Notamacropus eugenii: one gene and its partner. The protein of the gene in region 1 purifies or fractionates together with the protein of each later gene. This does not show direct contact. Links are inferred from orthologs where the notes say so. Each region holds a gene or a part of one and is shown in the gene's direction. Other genes may lie near its edges.

Region 1 (10,665 bases):
CTTAGATTCAAAATACAAAATATCAGAGATGAATGGCACCATGGAGTTTATCAAGTTCAGTTCTTTCATTTTATAGAGCTTCTGTAAATTGAGCCCAGAGAAGGAAATTATCTTACTCAAGATCATACAGATAGTGCCAGAATAAAAGCAAGATACTCGAATTATTATTAAGATGATACAGTGCTTTAAAGTTTACAAAGCTTGTTCTTTACAACAACCCTGTGAGGCAAGTAGTGTGGATATTATTATTATACCCATTTTACAGATGAGGAACCTGAGGGTAAGACATGAAGTGACTTGCCCATAGACACCCTAGTAAGTGGTAGAGGATGTATTTCAACTTGTCTTCCTGAATCCAAGTCCAGTGCTAGCCCAGCTTAGCCCAGTGCTTTTTTCCATGGCAAAGATTCCTGTTTTCCTGTTCTCATTATAATAAGCATCTCTTGTCTTCTTCTTGAGAACAGATGTCACACACACAGCCTCAATGCAGAACCTTGGCCCTGGGACTTGACCACTGCAGACGAAGCCCCACCTGCTAAGCTGGGAAATGGCCAGTCGAAAATGATACAAATTGGACACATTCTCCCCCATACAGCTCATGACGTATGTTTTCCGGACTCATCCCAAGTTAGAGTAAAGCTGGGGCAGAAAACCAAATCTACTGACTCTGTGAAATGAGGACATGTCTTTTCATCTCTAAGCACCAGCCCTTTGGTATTTCTTGTATTTTTATTCAAATTGGGAACATTAGTGTTGCATTTAATTTGGAAGAAAAGCCAATTTGGCAGAGTCTCCCTCTGACAGCACTCAGTACTAGTAACCTAAGTAACATCACTAAAAAAAAACCTAATATAGTATCCTAGTAGAGAGACTGCCAAAACATAGTTCTGGCAAGAAATGTAATTCTCTTTATTGTAGTTTCCCCCTACTTCCCACCAACCTCACTCAGTTGTCTTTTCCCTCAAAAACGCTTGGCCCCATTAAAAGTTTTAACCCATAAGTCCTAGCTTTTATTTCTCTTCTTCCCATTAGGGTAGAAAATACCCACAGTATTTTCTTTCTTTCTTGCTTGACTCAAACAGTTCAGGAATTCTACTCACTTTACACCTCTAGACTCCCTTCACTACCCCCCCCCCCTTTCCTCCCATCTTTTTCTATGCTAACCTTCTACTTCATTGAAAATTAGAACAACTTAAGGAGACTTTTTTTTTGGAAAGTAGGATTATTAATAATAACAAAAACCATTTCTAGATCACCTCAAAGTCGACAAAATGATTCCTTTACAACAGTTCTTCATGGTAGGGGGTGCACATATTAATCACTACTTTACAGATGAAGAAACTGAGGCCCAAAGAGGTGATATAATTTGGCCAATGTCAAACAGACAGGGTCAGTAAGAGTTGGGACAGAACCCAACACCATTGTTTCTATATCCAGTAATCTTTCCACTATACCAGGCTGCTTACAGATTCATTCACTCAACGCAGCCTTGATAAGTACAGACCAGTTATCCTGCTATCTGGGGAGTGCAAAGATAAATAAGATACATTTTCTGAATATACAATCTAGTTTTTTTCTGTTGTCTTGAAACTTGTGATTTTAATCTATTAGAGGCAACTAGGTGGTACAGTGGATAGAACAGAGGGTCTGGAGTCAGCAAGATGTGAATACAAATCTGGCTTCTGACACTAGCTGTGTGACTGCCTCAGTTTCCTTATCAGTAAAATGGGAATAATAAGTACCTACCTTTCAGGGTGGTTTGAGGATTAAAGGAGATTATCTGCAAAGTGCATAGCACAGTGCCTGGCACATAGTAGGTACTATATAGTCATTGCTATTATTTTTGTTAATTATTATTGTTATTTTTGTTCTAGAAAAGGACCATGACATCAGAGAGATGATGCCATGACATGCAGGTGAATTGGATTTAAGTGAGGGAGGGCTGTGCAAAGTCAGCAGCCTCACTTTCTCCTTCAGAGTCACCTGGGTCCAGTGGTGAGATATAGATCCGGATGACTAGAGAGAGCCCTGGATGCAGTAGGACACCTTAACCTTTTTAAAGATTTTTAAGAGGTCTCAGTTTGATAGTGGCAAAGCTCATTCAGTGATTAAGGATAGGTAAGGTATGAGGCAGAAAATGGTCTCTTTTACCTAGAAAAAAAAAATCTGTCTGGGAGGAGAAGCACCTCAGGGTTTCTGGCCAAAACAGAAACAATTGCTATTTACATTCACACTGAGCCAATCCCTGATTAATTATTATCTATATAGTGAACTCCCTAGCTAAGATCAGCAATTCATGGTCTTGCCTGGGACTGAGAGATTAAGAGGTCTTCCCAGAATCACACAGTACTTGTAAATAAAAGGAGGTGGATTTTTCTCCAGGTTTTCCTAGGTCCTAAAGCTACCATACCAAGCTACTTTTACAATCTAGTAAAGAAATAATAACAATTTACCCTGATATAGCATAAGGCTTACAAAGGCATGAGGGCAGGAGAAGAAAATAGGAAGTTTTGGTAGTGCAGTGGACATCACTGTTTGACTAGAGCATAAGGTCAAGAAAAAGGAAGCTTGAGGTTAGAACATAGTTGGGGGAAGGCTTTGAATACCAGGCCAAAGACTCTTAAACCATTTTAACAAAAGTGAGAAGTGGGAAGTCATTTTGAGTCAAAGAGTGAGAAGACCAGAAACGTGCATGTTAGGATTGTTATTATTTGGGCAACAGTGTGTAGGATAGTTTGGAGGAGAAGAGGAAGAGAGAAAGTTAACTGTACCATTGAGAATTTGCCTTTAGGGAGTGGGAAAGGGGACCACTGGCCAAAGAGGTTGAGAAAGTCAGGAAAGCAAAAGCCAAGGGAGTGAAGAATTTCAAGAAAGAGGGAGTAGAACAATGACAAATCAATCCATCAACCAACAAACTAGCATTTCTTAATAGTTTATCATGTGCACATAATAAACATATGCTAAGTGCCGATGAGATAGAGAAAAAGCAAAAATAATTCCTACCCTCAAGAAGCTTATATTCTAATGAAGGAGACAAATAAATACAGAGCAGATGGAAGATAGCCTTAGAGGAGAAGGCCTTAGTAGGAAGTGGGGGAGGTAGACACAGGAGAGAGATAAAGGAGTTTAAGGCCTGGGATCCACTAGAACCTTGGAGTTGGTGATTAGTCATTTTGAGAGCCACTTTAATAGAGTGATCTGGAGGAAACCAGATTGTTACTGTGACCCAAATCTTTATGCCCAAATTGCCAATTTGCTTATGCTGAGGTCCATCCTCTTCCTATTTTCAGACTAAGTTGTTGGCTGATGAAAAACAAGATATTGTAAATGCTGTTATTTCCCTCCCTCTTTACCCCAGGACTGCTTTGAGAATGTAGTAGCAAGGTCCTTTGTCTATTTGAAGAAATGACTCCATCAGAGTCTACCCTGGGAAAACAAAAATTAATAAATATAGAAATTAATAATAGTTGGCTTTAATAATTAATTACATATGATCAATATAAGCAACAATTAATTAATTACCTAATCTCATTAGATCCTCAGTGGTTTGTTTCTTTTGCCCTCTTGTCTCAGGTACCTAAGTGCCCTCTTATTCTCTGCTCTCTTCACCTTCCCCCATCAAAACTTACTCAAAAGCCCAAGTTGGGCATACTTTGGAGGCAAAGGGACGTAATGGGAAAACCTTGCTCTTAGAGTCCAAAGAAGGCCTGAACTTGCAGCTGCAATGATCAGTCACTAACTCTGTGACATTATACAAGTCACTCAACCTCTGGCCTCAGTTTTGTCATCTGGAAAATTAGAACAATAATATCTACCTACTCACCCAACCACCCACATCCCTACTTCCCAGGGCTGTAATGAAGGTGTTTTGTTCAAGGGCTGCAGAGATGAGCTCTCCTTGGAAAGACTCTGAGAAGCCAATTTTCACAGAGGTGAAGACATAACTGATTTACTTCTCAAAGGCATTTACATTTTAAAAGAGGACAAATGCTCTGCTTCATTTCAAAGAAAAAAAATCTGATAGAATAACAGTTCTGGTGGAATTTCAGTCATCTAGGAGGCAGTGGTGAGGATGTTTTATCAGGGGGCAGGAGGCCCTTCCAGCCACCTTATAGTCACTTAAAATAAAGGAGACAGCCCTGGAATTAGGCAGAGGAGAAACTAGGCTTGGATCCTGGTTTGGGAGTTTGCTGCATGTTTGATTTTGGATCCCTCTCAATCTGTTTCCTTATCTTAAAATATTTGGATTTGGTGTTCCCTTCCAGCTCAAAATTCCGTGGTCCTAATAAACAAATGTAGCCAAGGACCTTTCCCCTTTTTCTCCCCAAGTCATCATGGATCCTCTTCCTTCTGATGCTCCGTCTCTCTTTCCTTCCATTGCCTAACCCTCCTCCCGGCACTGGAGCTTTCTGAAAAACTTGGTGTGCACCATACCTGCTTTCCTCAGCAAGCAGCCCAACATGGATATGAAACAAATTCTCCTGCCCCGGGATCATTCCTGGCATTCCTATCTTGTCTGCCCCCTCTCTCTGCTCCCAGAACTCTGTGAGCCAGCCCTACACGATGAGTCAGGGAAAGAGGGAAGAAGGGGCTCTTTATTAGACAGCCTTAGATAACACATGGGAGGTAATATCCTCCCCTGTCATGCACCCCGAGGTCAGAAGAAAGATTCCCTCCGTTTCTCTCTTTCTTAAGGAACTTGAGCCAGAGAAATCAGACTCATCAAAACAAACACGTGGGCCAGAGTGGCATAGGGTACCCATTTCTGTGAAAGTTGCCAACCAGGTGCAGAAGATTTTAAACACTAAGCCATCTCCCCATAACTTAAGTCTAGGAAGGAAGAAAAGAATCCTTCCGGGGCTTGAGAGCTGGAAAGGTTCACCTCTTTTTACCGAGGCACAACCTGACTCCGCAAGACAGGGAGTCGAATCCAGGTCCTCTGACTTTAAAGCCAGGGTTCGTTTTCCTACCTCCCTTTGCTTCCTGACCCCAAGATGCCCTGCTAGCTTTCGGCTACTTGTCATTCCTTCTCCACACTCCTAGTTGGCAGAAGAGGGGATAAGGGCAGGGGGCGGCGGAGTGATGATCTTCGGGGTCCCTAGTTTTATTTCTCCCCAGGGGAGAGGTCATGGAAGGGTCGCTTTCGCCCCCTTCCCCCGCCCTGACTCTCCTGAGATCCGAATGGGTACACAACCATCCATCCACCTGTTGGGGCTTGGCTCGAGCTAAGAATGACAGCGAGCAGAACCTTGGAGACCCCAGGCAGGCGCCCAGGCTCCCTCCCCGCCCTCCGGGCGGAGCCCGAGCTGGAGTGGAGCCGCCTTCCCTGCCTCCAGCCTTCCCCGCCCTCCTCCGCTTCCTCCCCCGGGCAGCTGCTTAGGTCTGCGCTGCCCGCCTGTACCACCCAGCTCTGCCGGGAGGAGAGGAGGGAGGAGGACGCGGAGGAGAGGGGGAAAGCTAGGAGGAGGAAGGAGAGGGCCAAAGCTGGGAGGAGGTGGGGTGGAGGAGGAGGAGGAGGGTGAGGGCTGCCAGGAGGAGGGAGAGGGCTGGCAGCAGGAGGGGGAGCAGGAGCAGCGCCTGGCGCCCTGCGCGCCCACCCCAGGGAGCCCTTGGCTCCGACACCGAAACAACCTCGGAGCGCACTCCTTCTTGGCCAACCCTCCTGCCAGGAGTCTCCGGCAGACTCATGTCACAGAAGCCGGGTTAGTTAGCTGCTGCTTTTTTCTTTTTCTTCTTCTCTTTTTGCCTCGTCTTCCCCGCCCCTACCCCACCCCCTCTTCCCAGCTGATGCTCCCCATCCCACCCTTCCCTCGAGCCCTCCCAGCCCGCCTGCCAGCCTGCCCTCCGCAGCTGGGGGCCAGAGGCGCGGGCTCCTAGCCGGGTCTAAAGTTACTGACTGAGCTTTCCCTTCTCTGTGTGCTAGTTGGCGGCCCCCCAGGCGAAGAGGAAGTTGACTGGTGCTTGTATCAGCTCAATGGGACAGCCGAGTTTGAAGTCTCCGAAGGTAAGGGACAGTAAACCCAGCTCACTGATAGTGGAAGCTAATCTCGACTAGCTGGGGCTAGGCTGTGGTTCGCGGGAATTCTCTCAGGGTTGGAGAGTGGGAAGGCGGGGAGGCCGCGCCTACACGGACCAGGTCAGTCTTGGAGCTCCTGGTCACCCTGAAAGGTTCTGGTGGTGTCCTCGTCTGGTCAGAGTGGCTCAGATGGAGGTGTGTGTGTATGTGGGGGGAGGGTAGGAGAGGAGGGATGGATGGAAGAATGGGGAGTGGTTGGGAGAGGTGTTAATTTTGGGTTGGTGACTGAAGAGAAGTACTTAGCTCCAGGAGAGTGAGTATTAGAGACTGGCAACAGGATTTCAGCTGCATTTGATCCTATGTCCGAGTTGGAACCAGAGAGGAATGGGTGAATGATTTTTTTAGTCTCTCCAGGCCATATTTCCGAAGTGGTTTGGGGAATCGAGAGATCGAGAGACCTTGCCAAGCAGCACTAGAATTGTGGACTATTTTTATTTGGGCTACCTGCTTTCCTGTGAATTACACTAGTCACTTTTCCTTCTCCATGTCTCAGTTTCCTTCTCTGTAAAATGAGAGGGTTGAACAAGGTGATCTCCTAGGTCCCTTTTAACTCTAAATCCTATGAAGGCCAAGAAATTACATTTGGAGCCATAGGGTCATAGGGCTTAAAGTGTCTTGAGATCATCTTGTGCACTTTACTCTACCCCTTACTTTACAGAAGAGGGAAACTGAGGCTCAGAGAGGGGTGGTGCCTTGGCCAAAGTCAAAGAGACAGTAGCTGAAGGAGGGGCAGTTGAAAGAGAATGTGTAGATAAAAATAACATGACCCCCCTCTAAAAAAAACAACCAAAACCCCAACAATCTGTTTTCTGCTGAGATTTGGAAGAGAATGTGGGATCAGTGGGCAGAGATACTAAAAGGGCTTTCCAGATGGCAGGAACTGCTGAGAAATTTCTTACACCAATAGGGGCAAGATTGTGTGGTCAGACAGAACAGAACAGTCCTTAGAAATGGAAGGATGATTCCAGGCATTTGAATGCTGAAAAGTCTTAAAAGGAAACTCCATCTGTATGCAACAGTGTGTTTCCAGGCACTGAGAAACATTTATTTATTTTTTTTTGCATCGTCAGCTAAAACAGGGAGGAGGAGAGATTATTGCTGGAAATTAAAACCTTTTTTTGACAAGTATGTAACTATCCAACCTGGTTTCATGTACTATGAAAGGTATGGAGTCCTCCCTCTCCCCCTTGAAAGGAACTTTTATTTGCAAGGCTATGTGATCTGTTTAAAATTTTATTTCTATGGACTTCATTCACATTTAAAAGTCCTGCTCCTTTGTGAGACTGCTTAGGAAATGCCTTCTCCGTTTCCCAACTCCTACGCAGTACAATGACATAACATCGGGATTCATGATGGAAGACTTCAATGTTATGTTTTTCAAGTTGACATTACCTTAGACACAGCTCAGGAGAGACTTTCATGTGAAGGAACAAGGTGACCATCTGTAGTAAGCTCCAAGTAGAGTTTTCTCTTTCGTAGTCATAGACTTAGAATTTCTGAGATGGAAAGGAATGAAGGGCTTATCTAGTCTAACTCCCATGCAAAGTATGGATCTTGTCTCTAGCACTTCTGACAAGTCATCAGCTCACCTGAGGAACTGTGACAAGGACCTCTCTCCAACCTCCCTTGTGTCACCCTTTCCCTCTTCTCCTCCCACCCCCATCACTTTCTGTGTTTGAACAGATCTAATTATTAGAAAAGAGGGTTAGCTGGTATAGTAAAAGTCAACTGACCTTGGAGTCCGGGGAGACCTGAGTTCAAATCCTGATTCTGACATTGACTAGCTGTTGGATTCTGGGCGACAAGTCACTCAACCCCTGAGCTGTAGTTTCTTTACCTATAGAAAGAAGGGTTGAACTAAGTGATCTCCAAGGTTCTTTCTAGTTCAAAACTTATGAGCCTCCGGTGATCCTTATACTGAACTAGTTTCCCTTCCTGAAACTTCAGCCTATTGGTATGTCTTGTCCTTCAGGACCAAGCATAAATTTAATCCTTTCCCCACATATAGCCATTAATAGACTTTAAGGCACCTCTCATGGCCCCTTCCCCATGTCTTTTTTTCCTGGGCTAAGTATCCTCAGGGTTCCTTCCATTGTGCAGGTGAAAACCACAGTGTGTCTTTTGTAATGCAAAGAACACTGTGCTTTAACCCCAAACCTAACCCATATCAGGCTCAGTGGAATGAATTGGGGCTCTGGATCCTAAATAAGAGGAGACCAAATGGAAATATCATAGCTCTTTTCAAATATTTGCATGTGGGATCTGACCTGTTCTATTGGTCCTCATGTGGTAGAACCACAAGCACTAGATGGAATTAGTAGAAAAGCAGATTTCAGCTTGATTTAAGGGAACACAATCTTAATTAGAGGCATCCAAATTTAAACAGACCGCCTTGACTAGAAGTTGATTCTTTCCTCATCTAAGGTTGTCATATGAAGGCTAGAGGACCACTACCTAGAGATGTCACTGAAGGATTCAAGGGCAGCTACTGCTTGAACCAGATGGTGTATGAGATGAGATGATGTGTGAGATCCTGCAAGATGCTGGTCAAGGACAATGTTTTGCTGGCTATGTCAGTGAAATAAGATTATAGGATTTAGAGTTGGAAGGAAACTTAGAGATCATCAAGTCCAATCTTCTAATTTTACAGGTTAGGAAACTGAGACCTAGCGCAGTGAAATGACTTGTTCACCAACACAGAGGCACCAAAGTAACAAAATCAGCATTTGAAGACAGACCTTTTTGACTCTAGATAGGCTTTCCCATAATTATACTTTCCTTTTATACCTGATGCTTGTTTTCCCTTGTCACTTTGTTGGTCTTAATTATTTTTGCAAAACTAAGTGGGTGGGATTACCCTTTAGGTACCAAACAACTCTTAGAGATGTTCCAAAATTGAGTGGTTTGGCTTAAGAGATACTGGGTTCCCTTCCTGAAGGTTTTCAAGGGGATACAGAATGATCACTTGCTGGGAAGGTTGTAGAGGTCTGGTGGGCATTGGACTAGCTAACTTCCGAGGTCCCTTCTAACTTAGAGATGTTGAGGTTCCATGACGTTGCATTCCTACAAAGAAAGTGTTTACCAATGAAAAGCTTTGTTCATCAAGATAATAGATTTCTCTATGGGCCTTCTTCTAGAAGTTTTGCTTAGGTTCTGAGTATCATTCTTCCTGAGGTCATTGTCAACTTCAGAGTTAGACTATAAACTCCTCAAATGCCCTGAGGGATAGAATTGTTCTCCTGTTTCCATTGTGGCTTCTCTAGCCTTCTTTTTCGCTATGGGCCCTAGTAAATATTGGTAACTCACAAATGTTCTGTTGGTAGTTACCCAAACACTGTGAGATGCTGTGTTTTAATGAACTTAATAGTAGTTTTGTTGTTTGTGTGTATATGCGTGTATTTTCTTTTTCAAACAATGACCCCAGAGAAGATAGCTATGAATACCTGGTAATGAAATCTTTTAGAACTGATTTTGTTTATTTGTTTTTAAAGCACGATTTTTTTCTGAAATTCTAAAATTTTTTAGCCACTCAGGACTGATGTCCATGATTCTATGGTAATATAAGCAGTGGACAGCTAATAACTGGCAGATTGTGTGTCTATTTGAAATTTTGAAAATTTATAGTTTCTGACAAATTCTCTGCCTATTTTGTTCTCTCTTTGGGTGTTGGGAGGGATCCTTTGCCTTTGGGCTAAAAAACTCTAATGCAGATTCACTTTCCATAAATAGTTTCCTGAATACATTGGAATGTTTGTCACTTACCGGGTTTCTAAATTTAGGTTTGACTCTGTGATTCCTTCCCTGGAGACATGTTGACAGCAATTGTTAAGGCAACAAATGCTAATGAGTGGAAATCTGGATACACAACACTCAGCCTGGCCTTGGGACATCACCATTTCCTTCTGGGAGCCGTAGTACTGCTTAATTTCCTAAGGGATACACCTGTTTATACATCTGAAACTCTCCTTTCCCTCTCCTATATCAACAGCTCACATTTAGCTAGTATTTTGGTACATTTTCACATCTTTTATCTCTCATGTTCCTTACAATGCTCCAGGGAGCTAGGAAGTACAAATATTAATGATTTTTAATCATATCTAACATTTATATAGTTCCTTAAGACTTGCTGAACACTTCATGGAGGGTTATCTCAGTCCATCCTCCCAACAGTCCTGGGAGGTAGGTATTATTATTATCCCCATTTCATAAATGAGTAAATTGAGGCTGAGAGAGGTTACATAACTTTTCCCAGACTCACACACAGCTAGTAAATGTCTGCAGCAGGATTTGAATTCAGGGCTTCCTTACTCTAAATCCAGTACTCCTGCCATTGGACCATGTAGATTACAGTTGAGGAAACAATGTTTTCAGATAGCATTGGCCATTTGGACCACTGCTATATGGACAAGTCATTTGACCTCTATGGACCTCAGTTTCCTTATCTGCAAATTGAAAGTATTGAACTAGATAATCTATAAGGTGGCTTCTAACTTTAAATCCTTTAGGAGGGAAGCTTATGGTGACCCGGCTTTCCACTGTATAATCTTTTACCTCACGGACTAGTCTTTTAGGTATGCCCAGAGTAAAGC
Region 2 (10,325 bases), on another chromosome or scaffold:
CAGCTATCAGGTAAACAAGTAAATCACTAGATAGGAAGAATGCCCAAGTACAATCTTACAATCTGATAATCACCATTACCAGCAGGCAGGAAAAAAAAAACCAAAACCCTGGTACTAATACTTTTTATCATATATGGACAGCACTTAATACTTTTAAAATTCTTTCACATAAATTATTGCATTTGGACATTGATTTGAACTTCCATTAATAAATAAGGATTCATCAATTCATTTCTTAGATTCGGGTCCTATATCCTAAGATTCAGTTTAGCAAGTTACTTCCTGACTACTGTATCCATGGCATTCCAGAAGAGATAAAAAGAGTAATCAAAAAACAGAATGAATTGAAAGGAAGAGATACTTGAATCAGAAAGATCAATTAGGAGATTAAGTGCAATACTAAATGAGAAATTATGACTTTTCTCCTCAAAATTTCATATAGTACTCTATTTCATACCTCTAATACACATCATATAATACTTTTTTTTTTAAGCTATACATCTTTTTGTCTTATTCTTCTACTAAACTTTAAGTTTCATGAGGACAGGGGCACCTTGCATCTTTCCCAGAACTTAAAACATAACTGCACACAGCAGGTACTTAATGTTTATTGAATATTGGTGAATGATACTGAATGAATCTCAAATTTAAGTAACACAAAATCAATCAATAAGTATAAAGAATATTGACAATGTGAAGTACAAGTAGACAAGGGTAATAATATAGCTGTTTTGAAGTATCCTAAGAGATATAGAAAAGGAATCATCTTTATCCTGGTTGGATCCTGACAGCAGTAATGGGAGCAATGAAGTGGAAGATTTAACGAAGGGGCAGATTTAGTGTAAGAAAAAACTTCTCCCCAAATTAGAGTTATCCAAAAGCAGAATGGGCTGCCTGAAGAATCAGCCATATCCCCATAAATAAAAGTTTTCAAGCAGAAGCTGAGTGACCACTTACCAGAATATTTGTTATATTAGGAACTTCTATTCTGGATTAGATGACCATCAAAATTTCTTTCAAATCAGATTCTGAAATTTTGTGAACTTCCTGCCATTTTCAAGTGACTAAAGTTATCCCTCAAGGTAATTATATCTAACTACTTCGTCTAAGAAAATTCTAGACTCTAGAGTCACTGACTCCGCTTTTCACCCAGTGAATAAGGTTTCACAAATGATATGCAGGCAAAATGCTTTCACTTCTTATTTGATAGGTAGGAAACTATGAAGCTTTACATTCACTTGAGTTGTTGATGCTGGGACAAACAATACCGAAGGGATTAAAGACACCAAAACTAGCAACATTACCTACATTCTCTCAAATTTCTCCCTAAAGCTTATACCTCTCTTTTGCATTTTTCTCCTAGTCAATCTTATATCAGTATCTTTCTTCAACTGTAAACTCCTTGAGAGTTTACTTGCAGCACAGTACCTAGCACATTTCTTATGACTGAGTTCTCCAAGTATATCTTTTGCAAGGATCAAAAATCCACCATTTTGCCCTCCATCGCTCCCCATTCCTATCCCAATAATAAACAAAACCTTTGTAACAAATACAGTCAAGCAAAATAAATTCATACATTGACTATGTCCAAAAACACATATGGTCCTTCAATTTTCTATAGTGCTATACCACTTATCTGAACCACTTCTTTGTATTCATCACATTCTACCTTGTGGCACTTTTGTTCATTCAGAAATGTTTAGTAAGACACCTACTGTTTAAAAGTAATGTACTAAGGGATAGGGGAAATATGAAGTTTAAGATAAAATATCCTTTATACACATCAAATTTACAGTTTAGAGTACACATTTATGTACATGTCTTGCCTATTAAGACTGTTAAGTTCCTTGATGGCAGGTACCGTGTTGTTTTTAACACATCTTTGAATCCCCAATATAAGACAATACTTAAGAATTTACTGAATATATTAATCCACCAAATTTAATATTAGCTATTTTTTAAGACTGATCCAAGGAATAAAGACGCTGTCTCCAGAAGTATAATCTAAGAGTTTGTAGAAAGATATCTTGCAATTTAAAGAGATATAGAAATATTCCCAAGGTCAGCCAGACATTAACAACAATTAAAGAATATTTTGCTATGGGAAGTAGATATGCCGGTTCATGACTTGATGATTATGCCTATGACAGCTGTGGGGGAAATAAGTATATCAGAAACTTAGTCCTTTGACTAGTGCTCATCTGGGATGTATAACTCAATAAATTAGTGGAGGAACCAATACAGAAAATGCTCAAACAAGTCCTACATCCCAGAACAGGTGTTTTCATACATATGTGTATGTGTGTGTATATAGACAAAATACTTGCCAAATGATTTAATGATCTTCCTCTCCTCTCCCTATCCTTGTGACCTCATATATAACACTTTAATATACAAGTCTCTCATGCATGTTATTATAATTATTTGTATGTAGTGTTCAAAAAGTCTTTATGGGCAGTTTAAGCTATTAGAACTATTAGAACAAAAGCTTTAAAAAAAGCTTAAAGTTTTTAAATCTTAATGCAAGTTTTTTTAAAATTGCACTATGATTTCTGGAACACCCTAGAGATATTATATAACCCTAATAGCCTGTTACTATTAATAACTGTGCCATAATGAAGAATGATGGATAAAGAGAATCATGAAAAGATTTACATGAATTCATCTCTGCCTCCTGGTCTCCCTGGCTTCCTTCAAGTACTTCACTACTAAAAGCTTACCTTTTAATGGAAGCCTTTCCCAAACCCTTTTAATTCTAGTGCCTTCCATCTGTTATTTCCTATTTTTCCCATCTATGGCTTGTTTGTTCACAGTCTCTCCCATTAGACTGTGAGGTCCTTCTGGGTAGGTGTGTTCTGCCTTTCCTTAAATCTCTGGAGCATAGCATAGCTCCTGTCACACAGTAGGAGGTTAATAACTAAAGCAGTACTAAAGCAGAGGTAGGGAAAAAACACACAATGACTGCAGACAAGTAAACAGAGAATAAATGAATACTGTGAAATTATAATGACCAAGTTTGGCCCCCAAAAAAGAGAAATGAGAAGGTACTTCCCCAAACCTTCTTTGTAGAGGGAGGGAGCTATGATTCTGGCACATTGCACACACTGCTACCCTTTTTCAACATATTGATTAGTTCTAAACGGTTCTTCCCCTTCTTCCTTATATTTTATTATGAGAAATGGCTCTCTGGGAAGAGAAAGAAGAAGGAATTCAGTAGAAAATATATGCTATGAATAAAACATATCAATGAAATTTTAATTTTTTAAAACGTTTGCAGAATTGAACTGAATTATACAAGTGGAGGGCAAAATTGGAATTAAGGGCTATTGAGGTCATGTCAGTAGGGCTACAAACTTGAGACTCACCAAAAGCATCAAACATATCCTAGACATCTTGGTGAACACACTCTCCTAGGCTGACTCTATGACTAACCTTCTAGGGATAAGACTTACCTAGGATTCAAACCTACTCTGACCCCGTGGGAACTGTGTTTATTAGGAGACATAAAAAGCTTCCAAGCGTACTTTGTTCCAATTCAATAAACACTAAGTGGCCATTATCATAGTCTTCTGTCTTATGTTCCCATCTGACCCACCCCAGGAAGCAGTGCTTCTGAAGTTGAGGGCCCTGCTGCCTGAGTACCAAGCCCTGAATCATTATCATTTTACAGCTTCAGCAAAGTGCCTGCCACATAGGAGGGCACTTAGGCTAGTTGGCTGACTGACTTCAACCTTTTTGTCCTGGATCCCCTTGGTAAATTGGTAATGCCCATGCACCCCTTCTCAAGAATATAAAATACATGGAATTACAAAAAAAAAATCGTTATGAAAATATATTTTTTTAAAAACTTAAGGATCTCTGATGCTCCAAGAGGAAAAGTGACCACAGTGAGGAAGCTAGGACTAAGACCCAAATATTCTCCTGACTTCCAGTCCAAAGCTCTTTTCAAATATGTTTGTGGTTTTAAAAAAATCACTCAAAAGTACCAAACTAAAAATCCCCTTGCACTCTGGGATACTTGATTTCTATTACATTACTAATTTGTGAATCCACAGAAAATGTAAATTCAAAGCAACATGCCACTAATGAGACTATTAAGCCACCCTAAAGTCCTAAATGGGAAACCACACTGACCCTCAAACTTATCAAAGTTTAAAGCGTCGTGATGGGTCCGGCCCATGGGACCTGCTGAAGCACGAGGGCAGCGCAGGATGACCTCTCCACTTGCTTTATTTCATTTCACCAACATAAATCACTACGGGTTTGGCTCCATCGGTTAACATGCATTTATTAAGAGCTTACGTGATGCCAGGCACTGGGATAAGCTGGGGATTCAGGCCAAGTCAGTAAACATTAAGTGCTTGATAATATTTAATATATATTTTAGACTTTAATAAGGGCCAAAGTTTGAATTAAGAAGAGCCTGAACCTAACAGTCCCCTTTGTTTAACTTAGAGGATGCCTTTTGATGTCAAGCAAATGGGACTTCCTTACCAGACCCTTCTTCTAGCATCCTAGTGGTAAGAGAAAAACACAGATACCTTGGGTTGTAACTTCAGCTTCCTCAACTCTGTTAAGATGAACAACTTCCAAGGCCTGTTTAGGACAGGATGTCTGAAATCTGGGTGATGGGACTTTTTCCTTATCTTGAATCACAAAGGCATGCTACGGAAAGAAGATGCCCATAGCTTGGGATCATAAAACCCAACCGATGCTGCTTTGCTTACAGTGTGTTTATCTAAGAGAACTCCTTTCTCATGGCAAAATGTATATAGGCCAGAAGATTTCTGTACTGGGGAGCCAGCACATCTTTCTGGCTCCATAATGCATTATGTTACCGGTTTCTTTAATAGGGGACTGATTAATTAATTAAATCATAAAATGTATTTATTTAGCCTGCTGCCTTTTCTTTAACAAAGTTTTCAGGTCAACATGCTTAATACGTGCCCGGCACCACCCTGAGAGCAGGGCACGCACAAAGGGCAACAGGCAGTCCCTGCCCACAGGGAGCTCACCATCTAGTGGGGAGACAACCCACGAACAAGCTCTGCGCGGAACAAATAAATTGTTAACAGGGCCTGGGCACGGCGTCCTGAACCTAACAAACGCTGAATCAACGTTCTTAAACCGAGCGAAGGCTCTGCCCTCACCGGAGCCTCCCACTCCTACAGCGGAGACGCGTTAAGAATCAATGGGGAACCGGAGGGGATGTCGGGGGGACGTCGAGGGGACGTCGGTGCTCCGCGGCCGGGGATCGGGGCAGGGGAGTAGACAATCGAGACCCACTGGCTTTCAAAGGAAGCCGGCAGCTACGCGTTAATGGGCTCAAGCTGCCCCCCAATCCCGGGCCCCGCGGCTCGAGCCCAACCCAGTCCGGAGCCGTTTACGGCCGAGCGCGCTCCCAACGGCCACGGCCTGCCACGCGCACCCAAGAGAGGAGGGAAGTCGAGGCTCCCCACCCACCCCACCCCCGAGCGCAAGGAGGCGCCGCCACACTCGTAGCCAAAGCAAAGGGTTGAGCGAGCACCCCGCCCTCCTAAACTGCCTCCCGCCGGCGGTGGAGCCTGAACACGCCGGGATACCCGCCGTCTCGCTACTGGCCTCACCTCCTCCTCCTCCTCCTTTCCCCATCGCGAGAACTCCGGCAGCCGCTGGAAGAGGCACGACCATCTCCACGGGATAGGTAGGGGAGTCGGCATAGGAAAAAGACTTTAGAAGAGACAACCTATTTATTCTGCCTCAGTATCCAGATATTTCGGGACGCTTTCAGGTTTAGGGTGAAATAAAACACTTTGTCTCTTGGGAAAATCTGTGTTCAGGGGAAGAGATTTCAATCAGTCTTTGGCAGCGTCTTCAAACCTCCCCCCCGCCATTTTCTACATAATGGTTGTCTCCAAGGGTTGCTGATTCCAGAAAGTGCTACCTGGCGTGAAATTAGTCTCGATCGAAAAATAAATCACAAAGCGTCAACTGCGCCTGCGCAAAGCGCCGAAACACCGTCAGTCGCGAGAGCGAGCAGTGGTTTCCCTCCTACTTAGTTCGTCTCTGCCGGTTGCTGGGAGGGATTCCTTTCTAGCTGGACCATGTCTTCCATGGGTACTCTGGCATTCGACGAATATGGCCGTCCTTTCCTCATCATCAAGGACCAAGAGCGCAAGTCCCGCCTTATGGGACTTGAGGCCCTCAAGGTAACGGGTCCCGGAATCGTTGGCACCCGAAAAACGGGAGGCCCCGGGAACCGGTGTCTTCTGCGCGTGCGCAAGGGTTGGGGAAGGGTTCCGCCATGTGCTCTGGGGAAAGACCGAGAAGTTCTCCTTATTCCTTATTCTCAGTGAGCTCCCTACCCCGCTCCAGACTCACGCGTGACCCTTCCCCACCCCCCGCCCCGATCTCCAGAAAGAGGAGCTTCCTAGGCCCTTCCCAACAGCGAGACCACAGTGGTTACTGGGTTTACTGAGGGTGGGACAGTTTAGAAGCTGATATTTTATTAGATTTTATCTAAAAGAGAATAGCATTACGTTTTGGGAACTTAGACCTTCCACTGATCCAGTTTTTGTGTTTTTATGTCCTCTGCAGGGTGTATCTAACAGCTTAAAACTGTAGTAAGACTGTAGGGACACCTTATGAATAAAGATTTATTGTAGACTTGAGCCGTATTCCACAGGTAACTATAGTCATTTAACCGAAACGGTACCTTCTGGGTACCCTCCCCTGGATCCCACCAGTGTACTACTGTCGGTAATCCTTACATATTTAGTACTTTAAAGGTGTGGTAAATAAAACAAGCTCCTTGGCCTTAGTGGATTGAGCTCGTGATGGAGTGGGGAAAACGTGTGTGTGTGTGTAAGATTTCAGCAAGGTGTAGGAAGAGAATAAAACAAGTCAGGGAGGCAACAGAGCATCTAAAAGAAACAAGGAGTAGATTAGTTTGAAGGGATGGGCTATAAGGGAAGTGGGAGGATTTAATTCTGGAAAGGTAAGGAATCAGTACTTAACTTTGCTAGGTTTTCAGGAAGTGTATTTGTGGATTATTTTAGCATAGTACGCTGGAGGCAGGAAAAACCTCTCAGGAAGCCAATTTATTTGTATCCCTGTGAGAAAGAATAAGGATCTGGATTAAAGTATTGGGAGTAGGAATAGAAAAGGAGGTGATTCCAGACAAACTGTAGGCTTTTTATTAGCCGTGATTACAGCTTTAAAAGCTTAAAAAGATAGGGGCTATGCTGTCTTATCTACAAAGTAAGTGCACTTAGATGAAAAATTGAATTTACTTTGTATAATGTTGCTTACCTAATGCCATCATAGATGCTGGATAATTGTTAGGTTTTGCAGGAGCTTTTCAAAAGTTGAACCTTAACTTGAGAGGAATAGATCTTATATTCAGGATGGACTGAGTTCAGGTTTTACCTGTGGCATAGTGTAGCCTACTTTAAAATACCCCTGTTGCATAATTATGGACTTATGAGTATTCTTGTTTTGTTATAATTTGCCTTTGGAGATAGGTTTTGATAAAAAGAAATAGTGAAATTCTTTTGAGTGAAAGAAGTTAACTTAGGCAAATTCCGTTATGGAATAGGAACTTGAGAAAATGTTCATGTTAAAAAAACAAATAGTTCCTTGTATCTTTAGTATTAAGCATAGTATTAAGGTATATTGTAAGAATTGTATGTATATTTTCATAGCTCTTATTGTCCTTCAACCTGTATCCCACTAACTACCTTCAGTTGTAACAATGCTTTTGGGTCTGTTGACCTTTAATTAAGCTTGATACAGTCTAGGCATCTAACTGTTTTCAGCCAATTTTCAGGCTATTAAATAAAGTAGGCTGAGTCCCAAGCAGTTAAGTAATGTAGGCTAGGTGGCCAAGTAGGTAAGCATGCCTAGGCCTAGAGTCAGGAGGACTCCTTCTAAGTTCAAAACCAGGCAGGGAAGCAGATGCAAAGTGGTAAAATAGGTACATAAAATGGTGACAAGTAAGGTAAACTTTAGGGTATTGACTTCATGTTATTTTGATATTGAAATAAGCCATTGATTAAATGAACAAATACTGAAACATTATTCTAGCATAAATTTCTTTTCATCTTGCATCCATTAATAGGGCAGCTAGACTAGGCCGCGTAGTAGATAGACTGCCAGACTTGGAGTCAGGAATACCACAGTTCAAATCTAGCCTCAGATACTTACTAGCTTTATAACCCTGGGCACATTATTTAACTCTGCCTCAGTTTCTCATCTGTAAAACAAGCCGGAGAAGGAAATGGCTGACCACTCCAGTATCTTGACCAAGAAAACCCCAAGTTGAGTTACTAAAGAATTGGAAATAACTGAATAACAAGATATAGACAAACCTTTTCAGACTTATTCTCGATTCTAGCTAGATATTAATTCCAGGGAAACAATAGTGAATGAGCAAAGAGGGATAATATTATGCAAGTCCTTATAACATCACCCAGATTAGGCTACTTCAAGAAAAATTAATTCAGTGATGTGAAAGTAATGACCTTTATTTAATCCCTCTCTGCTCCTCATTAAAACATCAGTCCCTAGGTAAAAGTTAAGGAATTTACCTTTTTCTCCAAAAAGACTGAAATAAGAAACAAGTAAAAATATCAACTTATCACTGGCTTCTTTTTTGAGTTAGATTCTTGGATATTTAATGGCCACTGCCTCAAATATTTTTACAAAGGGTAAAGATGGATCAGAGATCTCGGTGTGGGTATGTTCTCAAAGTGTGGTCAGGGTCCCCTAAACATCCACATAGTCAAAACTTTTCATCATAATACTAATATGTTAATTTCTAATGAGTAAATATGGCTAGACTGTAACTCATAGAAGCTGGGGGAGAAGGGAGGATGAGAGCGCTTTGATTTTAAGAATGAGGGGCTCCTGAAATCAAACGAAAACCACTGATCTAGAGTAAGTTCTTAACTAGAGGTCCATAGATCTTTCTTTGGGTTCAGGAACTTGGATAGGGGAATAATTTTATCTTCAATACAGTGAAACTGGCCTCCTTGCTCAGATAAGGCAGTCCATCTCCCAAATCCTGGCTTTTTCACTGGTAGTTCCCTATTCCTGGAACTCTTCTTTGCCTCTTCAGCTCTGTCCTTTGTCTTCACTGGCTCCTTTCAAGTTTCATTTAAAGCCCCACCTTCCACAAAAAGACTTTCTCAGTCCTCCTTAGTCTTAGGAACTGCCCTCTGAGATGATCTTCACTTTTTCATGTCTGTGTCTTGTTTGTACATACTTGTTTGTATGTTGTCTTCTGCATTTGACTGCAAGTTCCCTTGAGATCAGGGATGATAACTGGTTTTATTTTCTGAGGGTTTTTTTTGGTTTGTTTTTTTTTTTTTTTTGCTCCTTTGTATTCCCCCCTGCTTTTTGGAAAAAAAAAATTTCCATCCTTTTTTGAGGGGGGGGCAGCACTTAGGTGGTTAATAAGTTGTTGTTGACTTGGAGTGGGGGCTGTTTTTTAACCTGTAACTGAGATACATTGTTTTCTTCACTTCTGAGAAAGGATTCATAACATGGAGCCAACAACCAGAGGAGTCCATGGGCTCCACAAAAAAGACTAAGAACCTGTGATCTAGAGGAATGATTGAAGTCTCACCTGTGTGTTTGTCTAATGTATTTGCCTTCCAAAGACCCTTATTGTTGTTGGATAAAAATGAAAACCAAGAGTGTGGCCCATAAAAGGATTATAAAATGGTTTGAAATAGGGAGACATGGAAGATGACTATTGTGTTGGAGTATCAAGTTGTCAGGATGAAAAGAAAAGCACTTGTATTTGAACGCTCACAAAGGTTGTAGTGAAAAATAAAATTGTGTATATCTTTGGTGCAGAATTAGTTGATTTTGCTATTGGGGCAATGGTTATACTGGTTTGATTTCATTCTCTTAAATATTTAGTGATTGTTTTCTACACTTGATATAAAGGAAATATACGCATAGTCCTTGTCCTCCATGATCTTAAAATCTAATGGAGATGAAATATTTGCAAAAAAAAAAAAGTATATCGTAAGGCAGCAGTGCCATGAGTTAACAGTCTAGGTGAAGAAATAGTTCTGATTATTTCTGACCTGGAATCCAAAAATTCTGCCTAGAGGTGCTTATTTATTTAACTTGACGTTGAAAAATGGTCATAGAGTTTCCATTAAGAGATAGGATAGTGCAGTTTTTCTAGATAGAATGTGTATCACTAACAAAGACAGGAAAGAATAGTGGAAGGGATGTCTTAAAACAACAGGTAGGCTATAGTAGGGGAGAGAATATAGGGAAGAAAGATAGGAACCACATAGTGAAGAAGGCAAGGTTAAGGAGTTTGAATT

Evidence for each region.
Region 2: the proteins of PPP2R2C (region 1) and CCT5 purify together in Homo sapiens (affinity purification with mass spectrometry; 4 studies listed by BioGRID and IntAct, counting the BioPlex papers as one, with this or other methods). This does not show direct contact. The link is inferred for Notamacropus eugenii from reciprocal best matches to the Homo sapiens genes PPP2R2C and CCT5.

The regions. Positions count from the first base shown.
Region 1 is NC_092877.1:59,218,174-59,228,838, forward strand, and holds the start of PPP2R2C (protein phosphatase 2, regulatory subunit B, gamma), read left to right. Parts: upstream 1-5,541; 5' UTR 5,542-5,686; coding exon 5,687-5,702; intron 5,703-5,918; exon of another isoform or gene 5,919-5,923; coding exon 5,924-6,004; intron 6,005-10,665. UniProt on the Homo sapiens protein: The B regulatory subunit might modulate substrate selectivity and catalytic activity, and might also direct the localization of the catalytic enzyme to a particular subcellular compartment.
Region 2 is NC_092875.1:359,481,433-359,491,757, forward strand, and holds the start of CCT5 (T-complex protein 1 subunit epsilon), read left to right. Parts: upstream 1-5,969; 5' UTR 5,970-6,083; coding exon 6,084-6,188; intron 6,189-10,325. Other genes in the region: ATPSCKMT (ATP synthase subunit C lysine N-methyltransferase), read right to left, coding at 4,542-4,665, 5,607-5,699. UniProt on the Homo sapiens protein: Component of the chaperonin-containing T-complex (TRiC), a molecular chaperone complex that assists the folding of actin, tubulin and other proteins upon ATP hydrolysis.